Notamacropus eugenii: one gene and its partner. The protein of the gene in region 1 purifies or fractionates together with the protein of each later gene. This does not show direct contact. Links are inferred from orthologs where the notes say so. Each region holds a gene or a part of one and is shown in the gene's direction. Other genes may lie near its edges.

Region 1 (6,722 bases):
ATATAGGACTTGAACTCAGATATTCTCAATTCCAATACCAGCCTCCTATCTGCTATGCAGGTTGTGGAAAAACACAGCCAAACATACCTTAAACAATTTGGAAATAATTTCTGAGTTTCATTTTAAAGGAACAAAGTTGAACCTCAAATTCCAAACCAAATAGAAGGGATATGTCAAGTGAGGCTCTGAGCCCCATCCAGAATTTTCCCCTTCACACTTGGCTCTATCCCCTTGTCCTTCCTATTTCTAGGATGTTTTGCTTTCTCTAAATCAACAGATTGGAGACACTGAACACCTGGGAACCTTGGGGAGGACTCTCAGGGCTGGGATGAGCTAAAGGCGGGGCAGGAGTAGGAGGGCAATAAAAGACAAAATTAATTCTGCTCCCTTCTCTCCTACAGGATGTCAAAAGCACACTGGAAAAGTAAGTGACTCCTCCTTGGACCAGCTGCCTGTGGTGGGGGGATCAAGGTCAGACAGGGCCTTAGTGTGGGAGAGAAAGGTCCCTAGCACTGAGAGGCACGAGGTCACTGGAATGGCCTTGACAGCACCCTCTTCTCCCAGTTTATTGCTTATATTTCCCTAAACACTGAGCGATGACGGAATTCAATCCTGTCTCAATCTACCAGTTGGAATGGGACCTAGAGGAGATGGAATAAAGGGGTACCAAGGGACCTATAGAGAACTCGGAAAGGAGAGGTTATTTGGGGACCCTGTGCTGCCCCTCCCATCTTCCCCCACCTAGCAGACTGGATTAAGGGAGAGAATCAAACAGGAGAGGAATTCTTGGCGGTAGTTTAGGGAGCAAGAAATGGGAAGGACTGGAGATCACAGCTTCTCTTTGAAGACTTGGATAGCTGTGACCCAGTTGCTTAGGGCATTTCCTTGATCTGGCCCCTTATCCCCACTCCCACCCCACCCCCTCCCAGATGTGAGAAGGTGAAGACCATGGAGGTGACCTCGGTCTCCATTGAGCTGGAAAAGAACTTCAGCAGCTTTCCCCGACAGTACTTTGCCCTAAGGAAGATCCTTAAACAGCTGATGGGTGAGTTGGGCCAAAAAGAGAACTAGCTGCAAGAATATATAGGGAGGAGAGGTTCCTTAGGTCTTTCCCCTCTGCCTCCTGAACCCTTCCTCACCCACCCACCTCCCTTGACTGGCCTCCAGTCTCTCCTTATTCTTTCTTTCTCATACCCTCAGCCTTGTCATCTCTCCTTCCCAACTTACTATTTCCCTCTTTCTGGCCCTCAGTCTTTGCCCTTCCCCCTCTTCAATACATTGGGGCAGATTTTAGTGAACCAAAAAAATGGAGAAAGCTGAAACCTGAATTAATCCCCCCCTAGCCAATTAGCTTTTGGATAGTCAAGAGTTTGCTCTAAGTGAACACATTGGGATTAGAATGAAAATAGTATTCTCCCTCCATCATGGAACATGAAGGATTAAAAATCAACTAAATATAGTGATTGGGGGATAATAGAGAAGATAGGCCTTACAGAGTTAGGTCCATTGCATCTTTCCCACCTTCTCCCTTACTCTGGCCTCTTCCTGCAGCGGATGTGATCCTGGACCCAGAGACAGCTCACCCTAACCTAGTCCTATCAGAGGACCGAAAAAGTGTCAAGTTTGTGGAAACTCGGCTTCGGGACTTACCTGATACACCTCGGCGCTTTACCTTTTACCCCTGTGTCCTGGCCACAGAGGGCTTCACCTCAGGTCGTCACTACTGGGAGGTGGAGGTGGGTGATAAGACCCACTGGGCAGTAGGTGTGTGCCAGGACTCTGTGAGCAGAAAAGGCGAGCTAACTCCACTACCTGAGACAGGATACTGGAGGGTGCGACTGTGGAATGGGGACAAATATGCAGCCACGACCTCACCTTTCACCCCTCTCTGCATAAAAGTGAAACCCAAGCGGGTGGGTGTATTCCTGGACTATGAGGCTGGCACATTGTCTTTCTACAATGTCACTGACCGCTCCCACATCTATACTTTTACTGATACCTTCACTGAAAAACTCTGGCCACTCTTCTACCCGGGTATCCGAGCAGGGCGAAAGAATGCAGCACCTCTTACCATTCGGCCTCCTACAGATTGGGAATGATGATGGGAAGGAACAGGGTGGGATGTTGAAGTAATGATGACAGGGGAGACAGGTATTTGGAACTGTGTCTCTTAATTTCCTGTGTCCTGCTGCTAGAGGTTTCCTTACTGTCAGGCTTATGTCCTGTATTCTCCTGGAGAAAGTGAGGTAGTGGGAGGGAAGGTTGTCCTAGGAAAGAGACTGGGCCTGGAAGAGAGTCTCAAGAGATCACACATCTGGAGACTGTTCTTTTCCCATTATGTGAAGAGGAGAGGGGAGAGGTTTACTGAAGGTAAGGCTGTCTTGGTTGCCTGCACTGTGCTCCACCAGTTTCCTCATTGCAGGAGGACTTTAGGTGGTCCCCTTCCCTCCAAAACAGAAGTAGGTTCGGAGAACCCTAAAGCCTCTGCCCACCCATTTTGGGTGATTCTATATGCCCAGGACAGTTTTGTTCCTTTGAGGGAAGCAGGATAATCTCTGTATCCCTAGAATGAAATAAAGGTTAATTGTCAGTCACATGGGAAGAAGAGTGTTAAAGTTGGTCTGGGGCAAAGTCTAAAAAAATGGGGAAAGAAGAGTTAGGAAAGGGGTTTGAAGAGGAGCCAGAGGAGGTTCCAGCAACAGGGAAGAATAGAAAATGAGCCTCCTCTTGTCACTTTACCCTAGCCAGGTGTGGTGGAGAAGAAGAAAAAGCAATACCTCCTCCAGCTTTCATGGAGTCAACCTATCTATCTATTTCCCCTGGTGAGGGGTAGAGACAGAAATGTTTTGAGCCCAGAAATGGCAGACACTACTCTGGATGACTCAGGAATTGTAGATAGAGAAAGAATTGTTTCAACTTGTCCTTGCCCTGAAGAGGGTTTGAATAGCTTGGGGCTCAAGCACAAAGGTAATGGGGAAGTAGCAGGATTGGGGTGGGGGTGAGGGGAAGCACTGGATTTGGGCTTTGGAAACAGGTTCAAATCCTGGTTCTATCATTTAGTGGCTGTATGATCTTTAGCCAGTTTCTTGCCTCATCTGTTAAATGATGGGGCAGATTATCTCTGAGATTCCTTCTATCTTATTTTAATACTGACTGTGCCATTAATGGAACTAGAAATATATGTTTCTCCTCACCCATCCACTCTTTATACTTGGGGCTGTCAGGATGGGTGGGGTGGGGCCCCACAGCCATTATAAGTTTATAAACTGGGATTTCCTACAGCCTGTCTTTAAATCCTGAATCCAAGCTTCTAAACCTATTACCCTTTATCATACCTGATTACCACCATGTTCAAACTAAGTCTGGCCAAAGTAGAAAAAAGGCAGATATGTTGCCAAAAGCATTACACAGTCCAAAACCAAATCGTTTGTGGCTGTTGGTAACCAAGACTTCACATACAAACAGGCATCACCATCACAAGCTTATAGAGTGAATCAGATTTGTCCTGGCTCCCTGCCCCACCTCCCTTTAAAGAAAGGTTTTATCTTTAATTCTTTGCCTAGGCCCCTATTTTTGTTGGTTATTACTGGGCTAGTAAAGTTATGGGAAATAATATTAACCCTTAAATATGTTAATACTGAGCTCTAGTGAAAAGCTAATAGCATCTATTTTGTGGAGAACAAAGCAGAATAAGGTTAAAAATCTGCCTACCATCTTTCTAATTCATCAGGACTAGAGGTAGAGAACTAATACCTTTTCATTTCAGTTAAGTTATTCACACATATGATCACAGAACTAGAACTGGGAGGAGCCATAGAGGCACTTTACAGATGAGGGAACGGGTTCATGGAGGTTAGAGAGTCACAGTGACAGGTAGCATGAGAATTCAGGCCTGCCTCCAAAGCCAAGCCAGTACTCCTTTACTTTTGGCCAGACCTATGATTTCACTAATTCCTCGTTAGGCCACAAAGTTTGATAGTTTCCCAGGGCATCCACTTAAAAGTGGCATTAAGGTCACAGGGCCAGTACATATCCTACAGTAGATACAAATGTACACTTTCCTGATTCAAAAGCTAGCCCTCTATCATGTTCTAGAAGGCATCTAAAAGTGTGATGAGAAAAAAATCTGTAATTTTTTTTTTTTTTAATCTCTAGCACTACTCATCCTTGCTTGTGGGGGCATCTTGGGATATGAGTTTCCAGCAGATCTACACTACCCTTTTTGTCTCCGGTCCCTCCACTGTCATGTGAAAAGGAAAGCTTGTTTTCCTTAGCACTTAAGGCTTGCCAAGTGCTTTATGTCATCTTATGCTCCCATACCCTTGTTTGGAAGGTTAAGATTTCATGATCTTTGAATATGGGAAAAGATGTGAGATGCTTCTGTCCTGTAACCTTGAAGAAATAGAAAAGGTTATACAACCCTACAAGGCAGACACTGTAGTGAAAGGCGCTGGAGCTGGAGTCTTAAGGACCAGTTTGAGCTCCGACCTTATTAGCTGTGATTTTAGGTAACTCATTTTGGCCCTGTTTCTTAAGCTGTAAAAGTGTTGGATTGTGATCTCCTTAAGTTCTAAATGTTGCTTTTCCATCACTAGTTACTCCCTCTCTGTTTATCGAGATTTGGCAGGTCTTGGGTGGAGTTAGAGAGTCCCACGAAGAAAGCAAAAGGGGATCTTTGACACCTGAATTCCTAGTGACATAGAAATTGGGACGGGGGAGTAGAGGGTCGAGTTAGGATAGAAAGGTGACAGAACGGAGGCAAAGAGGGTTTAAACGAGTTGCACGTGGTTGCACAATAAGTGGCCCGCTATGCTTAGGAGGCGGGGCCTGGGTGGAAGTATCCGCCGTAGGAGGGGGAGGTTCCCCTTTTGAAAGTATTTGCTTATGTAAAGACCGGGGAGACTACAACTCCCAGCAGGCACCGCGCGTGTAGTACGCGGGGCGGGGTGGCGTTCGAGGAGGCCGGGGTGTGTACGGACTGCAGAGGTGATGGCGGGGCAGGTGAAGGATAAGGAGGCTTTTCAGAGGCTCAGCTTCCTGTACCAGGTAAGGGTGCGACGGAGAGAAGGGCAGGGGAAGCGGGGCGGGCGGGTTCGCGTGGGCCCAGGAACGACCAGCGCCGCTTCCCCCTCGCTAGGCTGCCCACTGCGTCTTGGCCCAGAACCCCGAGAACCAGGCGCTGGCGAGGTTTTACTGCCACACGGAAAGAACCATCGGCAAGCGGCTCGTCCTGCGACAGTGAGGCTGCGCGGGGGGGGGGCGGGGGGGCACCTGGGCGGCGGGGGAGGCCCGACGGTGACTTCATGTCGGTCCTCGCCCGCTAAGGGACCCTTCGGTCAAGAGGACCCTGTGTCGCAGCTGCTCCTCCCTGCTCATCCCCGGCCTGACCTGCACCCAGCGGCAGCGGCGTGAGTGTTCCCGCCGCCCTGAAGGGACGAAGTGGGAGTGGTGACGGGCCGGACCGCCTTACGTTCTGGTTTAGGAACTCGTGGGCCACGCCAGGTTATCTCTAGCCTTTGTCGTCTTTACTGGTGAAGCCCCACCTCGGGAAACTGGGTTGGGAGTCCCCGTCTGTAATGTTTAGGGGCCGCTGGAAGCTTTAGGGCTGGGGACCCGTGGGAGGCCAGACAGGCCTTCTCTACACACTCTGCCCCAACCCCTCCAAGGTCGCCTGGGCCAGCGCTGGACCGTCCAGACTTGTCTAACGTGCCGTCGAAGCCGCAGATTTCTCAATGACCCCAGACACCAGCTCTGGGGGGACCGGCCTGAGGCCCAGCTGGGGAACCAGGCCGGTGAGGAGATGAAAATATTCCTAATCGCCAGGTGGAATAAAAATATGGGATGAATTAATCAGGGGAAGACCTTATATCAAGTGGGATGGGAGGATGGAGGTAGAGTCTGGGTGGATGCCAAGGGACACTGTTGTGGATCGAGCTTTTTCTGCTTCTGTCTCCAGACCTCAAATCCACTAGGTCTGTAGCCCACACAAGCCATCAAGTCTCAGCCCAGCCATCAGGGGAAAAATTGCACCATCAGGACCTCAGAATACAATGACTGAGAGGGTATCTTCTGCAAAGGCCTAGGAAATATGGGCTGTCCTTCAGATAAAATGTTCACTAAAGTACTCAAAAGTTTTGTTCTGGCTCTCTTTATTTGTGTCTCTAGCGTGTAGATCAAGTCTTTTCTTTGCCACAACTTGTAAAGAAAGAGCCCTGGAACTGGAGTATTGGAGTTAGAGAAACCAGTTTCAAATACAGTCTACAAGCTGTGGGGTACAAATGGAAATAAGAGTAGCTGTAAAACACATCCACAAATAAAAAGTCATTCTATAAACCAACTCTGAAAGTTTTGAGAGCTGGAAACCAGAACATGAGTGAAGGTCCCATTAGGCAGGGGATCCATCATGAAAGTCAGTTTGAGACCAATTCTAGCCAGGTTGGAATGGAGAAAAGAATGGTTGAAAAGACATTCTTTGAAGGAAATAACCTGTGTAAAGATGTGTTAAACCTAGTCATGAGCAATGAATTCACAGTTCCTGACATGATAGTGTTTCATAAAACCTAAAAAAAATTGAATGTAGAAAGTAGAGATCTTGGAAATCTTTTGATCCAAACCTCACATTTTACAGAGATGAAATTGATGAAGTTCAGGGGCACCCCAGGATGTTGGGGTGCAAAGTTAATCTGGAAAGAATTTAGCTCAGATTGTCTCTAAATCAAGCA
Region 2 (7,749 bases), on another chromosome or scaffold:
TTTCAAGATGACCTGCCACATACACCATGCACCTCTACATTCTGGGGTGCCCCTAGACCTCAACAAAGTGACTCACTTCTATCTTAAAGTAATAAAATGAAATTCACATTTCTGTCAGACATGACATTAAGAGTAAACATAAAATTATCCCATAGTTACCAAAAAGTTTTAATTGTCACTGTTTCCCAACTATTAACTTCAAAATATTCACAAGCCAAGAAATAATGCATTAACCTCCTTCTTTTTAAAAAAAACAAGGTTACTTATTAGACCACAGATCAAGGGACTCTCATAAATATAATATCCCTGACCTTAAGCAAGATATTTGATGACATCTTTCCTTATAGCCTTATGGGGAAGATGGAAAGATGGGCTGGATGATAGCAAAGTGAAATAGATTCAGAATTGGTAGAATGACCAGACTGCTTTTCTTTGTATTCCCAGTGCCTAGCATAGTGCCTTGCACACAGTAAGCACTTAATATTTGCTTGCTGTTAATGATGATAATTAATGGATTGATGTCAACCTGAGAGAAATGAAATTCAATTCTTAATTCTGAACTCCCTCAATCTGGCTCCTGCATTTCTTTTAATCTTTCAGTGTCTTCTCCCATCCTCAACTCCTTCTCTCTAATCTTAGAGGATGAGGTGATCCCCCATGGCAACGATAAGCCCAAAGTTAAGGAAGTATCCTTGATTCTACTTCATCCCCTCTGATCTCTTTCTTGACCTGGATCCATCAACTACCTCCTCTTTCACACATCTTCAGATCCATTCTCTTCTGGATCCCTCTTTTCAGTCTACTAATATGCTACTACTATCCACTGTCTTGTAATGGTTGGAGAACCAACCTCAGAGCTAGGACAGTAAGTCCAGCTGTGTGACCCTGGATAAGTCACTTAACCTATCATTGTTCTAGATAATTCTCTATTGTCCTTGAGAGGCAGTTCAGTGTAATGGATCAACCTCAGAGCTAGGACAACACGGGTTCAAGTCCCTTCTCTGACATACATAGGTTGTATGACCGTGGACAAGTCACTTAACCACTTATTGCTCTAGACAAATTTCTAAGATTTTAAATTTCACAGAAGGTGCTAATTTGCATTGGGAGAGGGTTTCCTCACTTTGCTTTTCCCTTTATGAAAGAAACAACAGGTCCAGTAACTGTCCTCCACAAATCTTGAGAACAATCACCCAGTTTTGCTTGAATCTGTCAATTGTTATTTTCCTATTTCTTCCTCTCCTAGGCAGCCAAACTTCTAGAAAGTGTGGCACACTGCTTCAATTCCTTTTTTTTTTTTTTTTGGCAAGGGTGTGGGTGGGGAAGGGGAAGGAGCTCAGCAGACTTCTGGCTGATACTCCAACATCTTGGCTCCACCTCCATTTTTATTCATTTGGTTTATTATAGTATTCATCAGAGTTCTAAAGTCTTTCAAAGTCATTTTTCTCTATACTCTTATCATTCTACAAATTGGTTTTCTAGTTCTGCTCACTTCACTCTCTATCATAGCGGTTTTCTCAGTTTCCTTAGAAATTTTCCATTTCATCATTTCTTCTAGCACATTTATATGCCATTGTTGGGGTGTAAGCTCAGTTTTCACGTTGTGTGGGATGGCTCAGATCCCTACTTAAATCAATTACTCAGAGGCCTCTCAAAGTGATGACAGAAAGTTTATTTATTAGATTCTCAAGAATCAGGCAATTCCTCTACCAGGAAAAAGCCGAAGACAAAGAAAAGGCGGTGATTTATATAGACCCTAATGCAAATCCCTCCCCCCCCTCACTGACCATTATTCTCATTAGCTGAGAATATGATCTTACATTCTAGACATGAAATCTAACCAATCCCTTTTGAAATGAAGACATTGAAGAATTAGGTAAACTTTATCCAACCATTGAGACCCTAATGTACTACACAGTTTTATATCCTTATATGGAATTATTCTGTTCTAAAAATATAGTAACCTTGAGCCTCTCAGTCTTACCTCACCCCTGGGAGAAGAATTACAATCTGAGAAGTCTTCACTAAACCTATTCCACTCAACGTGAACAGTCTCGGGTCAGGTAAAGGTGAGGGCTTCTAAACCTCAGAGCTCTCATGAGGCCCCCCCAGGGAACTGCTGGGAATTCAGGAGTGAAACATGGGCTATCTTGTTTTTCCACCTCTTCTCAGTGGAAACTTGCTGGGGAGAGCATCCCACCCTTGAGATTGGTCCTTGGTCTGAGCACACCTGCTGTTAATTAGCTAGGGGCTGGGAGCACGCACGGTATTCACGTGCAAACTATGCGGCTGGGAGAGCTTAAGTAGGGACAGGAAAGCCTGAGGGGGCCCCTTGCGTCGGGGTCCTTGGAGGGAAGAGGGTCCCTCCTCTCTTCCGCTCCTGTCCTCTTGCTGTATGATCCTTGCTCCTTGGGAGGAGAGGGGTTCCTTTCTCCTGGGGAAGAACTCGCCCTGCATATGGATACGTAACTAAGACCCTGAATAAAGCCTACCACCTTGTTTGACTCTGGAAAGTCTCTTCTCAATATGTTTATCCACCTGATCACCGAAGACCTGTGAAAGGTAAGCAGACTCGGGTAGCCCACGGCAATTAGGCCGAGCATGCCATTACATTCATATACCAATATTTGTTTAGTAATTCCTCAAAAAGAGCTGCTAAAATTATTTTTATACATATAGATCTTCTTTCCACTTTCTCTGATTTCTTTGGGAAAGTGGCCTACCAGTGATATGTGTCAATATGATAGGTGTGAGGAAGAACCTCTGAATTGCTCTTATATATTTCTAATTATTAGTGATTCAGATACTTTTTATGTGATTCTTGATAGTCTGGATTCTTTCTTTGAAAACTGCATGGTCATAACCTTTGGCCATTTATCTACTGGGCAACAGCTCTCAATAATTGGCCAATAATAGGGCCCAGGCCAAAGCCTACTTCATCTTAGTTTGGGCTCTTATTGACTCAGAGAATGTAAACAGGAATTGTTTCTGTTTTGATGAGAAACCCTGTGAGTCTTCCCCTCCCAGTGTGATTTCTTCTTTTCTGAACTAGGCTGAAGAGGTCATTCTTTGCCTCATTTATGTTTACCTAGTCAATCACTGAATGAGCATTGCCTCAGTCAAACTGAGACCTGCTGAAGACCTTAGCTTTAAAAGTCCAAGGTCTTCCATGAATCTGAGGGCCATCTCCAGTCATCTTGATGTGTATCTGGCCACTGGACCCAGATGACTCTGGAGAAGAAACTGAGGCTGGTGACTTTCAACAGCCCTCCCTCACTCAAATCCAATTCACTTGCATGTCATGGCATCACCTCCATGATGTCACGGTCCTCTGAGAACAAAGGACAAACAACAAGGGGATAGCTATTCGTCTTATAAATTTGCATCAGTTCCTAGAGAAACTAACTGCAAAGATGCCCCCCTCCTCCTTCTATCACCTGTTTCCCTTCTATTTTTTACATTAGATTTGTCTGTACAAAACCTTTAAAATTTTATATAATCAACATTGTCCATTTTATCTTACCTGATCCTTTCTGTCATTTAGTTAGTCATGAACTCTTTCCCTATCCATAGATATGAAAAGTAACCTGTCTTGGAAACAAGTCTGTATTTTAAAAAACTATTGTCTGGTTGAAGGACACAAGATTCTACAGTATCCATGGATTTAAAAATGAGCGTTATGCAGGGGAGCAGCTATGGAGGATATGAGCTGGATAGGGCAGATAACGAATAAGAAACACTGGCATTGGGCATTTTATCTGTCTCCCCCCATGTCTGAAATGCTCTCCTGCCTCTTCTCCAACTACTGCCTTCCTTTAAGTCTCAGCTAAAATCCTCTTTTCTCTAGGAACCCTTTTCAACTCCTTAATTCCACTTCTTTCCTTTGTTAATTATTTCCTGTATATAGGAAATACATATATTTGTATATAGGTTGTTGTACATATTTGTCTGCTCCATCACATTGTGAGCTTCTTGAGGGCCAGGACTGCCTTTTTTCTTTGTATCCCGAGTACTTAGCACTGTGCTTAGCACACAGTAGGGGCTACATAAATGTTTATTGACTGAAACGGGAATAAATGGCTCCGAAAGAAGCGAATGATTGGAAAACTCAGGCCTGTGCCCTGACAACGACGAGAGATTAGATGTGGATGGCCTAAGAACTATGAAGTACTGGGGCAGGTAGGTGGCACCCTGGAGAGCCTGCTGAACACAAGTCCTGAGTTCAAATTAGGATTCAGACACTTACCAGCCGAGGAGGGTCAAGTCACTTCACCTGTATCTGCCTCGGTTCCCTCATCTGTAAAATGAGGATAATACCAGCACCTGCCTCCCGGAGTGACTGTGAGCATCGAAGGAGACAGTAACTGTAAAGCGCTTAGCCCGTCGTAAGAACCATAGAAAGGTTATTCATTATTATTAGTTCACTGGTAACACGGTAATGTCAGGAAAAGCACAAAAAAAAGCTCCCTCGTGGTTAGGACCGCCCCCTCCCGTGGTTAACTTATGGGGGGGGGGGGGTCTGGTCTCTCAGGATTCATTGCAATCTACATTGTAGAAAAGAACCTCTGATCATGTGGATTCTTAAACTGACCGGGAATATAAAAGGAAGAGGAAAAGAGGAAGGAGGAAGAGGGGGATGGGAGAAGAGGGAGAAGGAGGGAGAGGAAGGAGGAAGGGAAGGAGGGGAGGCAAGGGACGGAGGAAGGAAGGAAGGAAGGAAGGAAGGAAAGACGGAAAGGGGAAGGGCTGTCTCGAGGAGGCGCACAGTCCTAGCCCCTCCCTTCCTAATTATCCTTTTCCTGGGACTGCCTCCCGAAGGTTTCGTCCAATCACGACACAGAACCGCGGGCCGCGTGTTCCCACCAACCACGTGGGAGAGCAGAGGGAAGCACTGAGCATGCGCAGCGCGGTCACTAGTTCGCAAAAATACGATATTCTCGTGCCCGGGGGTGTTTAACGGGCCCGGTGACCATGTCTACCTTGCGCAGGTTGCAGGAAACGCCACGACACTTGCTAGTGTGCGAGAAGTCCAACTTCGGCCATGGCAAGTCGCGGCACCGGCAGCACGTGGAGACGCACTACCACAACTACAGGGTGAGTCCCGCCCATGGCAACTTCCTCTCCCGCCGGCGTGGTCCGCGCCACCCCGTGGGACGAGCGGGGAGGGGAGGGCGGCGCTGCCCTCAAGCGTACCCGGACCTCGCGCCTGCTCCCCACGCCACGCCTCCTCTCCAGCCACATCCCGGAGGCCCGTGGGAGGGCGCTGGCGGGGGCGGAGGAGGATTGCACCGAGCGCCCTGGGAGTTGTAGTGTTCCGCCTTTTCTGTGGCCGAGGGTCCTGGCGCCTGGGAAAACTACAACTCCCACAATGCCGCCGGCATAGGACTCGCCTTGGGGAATCTCAGTTCTAGCCTTGGAACATCCCTGCGGAGATATCCAAGAGTCCCAATCCGTTAGTTTACGGAAGGGGAAACTGAGGAGTAAATTGAATTCAGTTTTCTAACCCCTGGTACTAGTGCCCAGTGCCATGCTGGAAGAAGTCCTGGAAATTGGTGGGCGCACTCCTGTTATCTCTTCGGTCTCCTAGAGTTTGGGGCCCCCATGGGTGTCACCCCAGGAGTGGGGGGCAGTGAGAGGAATATTGACGAGATGTTGCCGGGGCCCGGTGCTGGCTCCCCAGCCCCCAGTCCCTTACCGGTTTACTCTTCTTAGGCTCTCCCCTCCCCACCACCTTTTTGTTGAAGACTTTCCTTTTTAAGCCAAAAGACTGTGGTTAACCCCTATTTGAGGGTTACATTTCCAAAAAGTGCTAATTGGGTAGTACTCATTGTATACAATTGTAGTGTGTATGTATATACTTTGTATGTATATTACATGTATCAAAATATTGTATCGTACTAGTTGGATACAATTGTATAGTGTGTGTGTGTACACATTGTATGTATATTGTATGTATCAAAACATTGTGCAGTACTAATTGGATACAAATGCATTTGCAATCGTTCGCAGTTGCGAATCAAAGTCAGCCCCGCCTTGGGGAATGGAGGGGGTTGCTTTGTAAGGAATTTTTTTTTTATTTCGTTAAATGTCTCAATTACATGTAAAAAAAGTTATAATCATTTTTAAAAAAATTTTGATATAAATTCTCTGTGTTCTTACGCCTTGAAAAGGCAAGCAATAGGAGATCAGATTACACTTGTGAATAATGGAAGGAATTCTGAAATTACCAAAGCTCTCGCCTTTATGGAGTATATTAATCAACAAATACTTATTGATCTCTTGGTATTTGTTAGGTTCTGTGCTTAGTGCAGAGGGCACCAAGAAAAAAATGAAAATAGCTCTTGCCCTCAAAGAGCTTGAATTCTAACGGGAGAGAGATACAAAGAAGATACACTTGACTCTCTTCCCCTAATTACCATGGTGATAAAAATGTGTTTACTTAATAAAATTTAGCATGTGCTTTGATAGAGTGTACTGATGAGGTGATGGCGGGATCAGGCATTGTGACCTGTCCCTGTTTTGCAGGTATAGAAGTTAATCAAGGTGTGAAATTTATTACATGACTTATCTAAAGGTTCTCTTAAGTTACTGGTACATTTTGGAACTGAAACTGGGTGATTTCCATATCACTGTCCTCTAAAAACTTAATTTCTTCTAGACTGCTTTAATGGGAGTTTGCCATTTAACTGGAAATTTTTGTCAGGTAGGGAGTTCTTACTCCAGTAGTTGATAAACTTGGGTTTATCAAACACTCTGTTTCTATGCTTATTTGCTTCTAGGTCTTGTTTACTTTCTCTGTTTCATTGATGAATTTTTCTATTTTTGATCAGCATCAAGAAGCTTTCATAATGATTGCATTATCATATAGTTTGAGATCCAGTACTTACAGGTCTCATTCCTTCCTGCTTATTTTTTACACTATCAAGATTATTTTAGTTCTTTGAACTTGCATCACCAGTGCTAGCACAGAGCCTGGTACATTGTAGTTGTGCCAGGCGTTTAATAACTATGTTAATAGTTAGCACTGATAAATCCTTGTTGATTTAATTGCTCTTGAGATTCTTGACCTTGTGTTTCTCCAGATACATTTTGTTATTGTTTTGCTTATTTCTGTAAAATGACCTATGGTACTTCTCTGCAAATTATTTCAGTATTATCATTTTGATTATATTGACATCTGTGAACATTTAATATCCTCCAATATTTGTATTTATTTCAGTTAAGAAGTGTTTTTTAAATTCATAATCCTTCTTTCCAAAATCAACCCATTTGCTATGTCAGACTTTACATATTCCAAGGACCCTTCTTTTATCCATTTTACATTTTTTTAAAAATAAATTTCCATTTATTTATACATTTAAACACAGCTTGTTTAAATAGTTAAGTTTGAAATTCCCTCTACATTACATATAGTGCCCACCGGCTCCCTGACAAGAGGCAGGAAGCCTTTGTGACTTTTACCTGATGCTTGTCACCAACTTAATCCAGTAGTTGTGGACTAGAAAGATAAAGCCTCGGATAATGTTAGTTTAAGTATTTTACTTCCGTTTGCATTTTAAAGTGTTTTATTCGTTGCGTTTTTGTTTCTTCCTAAAGAATATCGGAGGATTGTGATGTGAAGAGTCCAAATACAGTAACTCAACTGTCTTCAATGGAGAAAATAAAATACTTTGATAGAACTATTAGAAGGTTGATCTTCCCTCCCCTACCCCCTTTAAAAAATATGCTGTGATGCTTCCAGTTTTATTC

The links.
Region 2: the proteins of RPP21 (region 1) and RPP40 purify together in Homo sapiens (co-immunoprecipitation; 3 studies listed by BioGRID and IntAct, counting the BioPlex papers as one, with this or other methods). This does not show direct contact. The link is inferred for Notamacropus eugenii from reciprocal best matches to the Homo sapiens genes RPP21 and RPP40.

Annotation. Positions count from the first base shown.
Region 1 is NC_092873.1:84,415,997-84,422,718, forward strand, and holds RPP21 (ribonuclease P protein subunit p21), read left to right. Parts: upstream 1-4,870; 5' UTR 4,871-4,989; coding exon 4,990-5,046; intron 5,047-5,137; coding exon 5,138-5,238; intron 5,239-5,325; coding exon 5,326-5,408; intron 5,409-5,666; coding exon 5,667-5,792; coding exon of another isoform or gene 5,793-5,823; intron 5,824-5,956; coding exon 5,957-6,054; 3' UTR 6,055-6,135; downstream 6,136-6,722. Other genes in the region: E3 ubiquitin-protein ligase TRIM39, read left to right, coding at 402-424, 930-1,045, 1,552-2,099. UniProt on the Homo sapiens protein: Component of ribonuclease P, a ribonucleoprotein complex that generates mature tRNA molecules by cleaving their 5'-ends.
Region 2 is NC_092875.1:174,898,802-174,906,550, reverse strand, and holds the start of RPP40 (ribonuclease P protein subunit p40), read left to right. Parts: upstream 1-4,747; 5' UTR 4,748-4,971; coding exon 4,972-5,094; intron 5,095-7,749. UniProt on the Homo sapiens protein: Component of ribonuclease P, a ribonucleoprotein complex that generates mature tRNA molecules by cleaving their 5'-ends. Also a component of the MRP ribonuclease complex, which cleaves pre-rRNA sequences.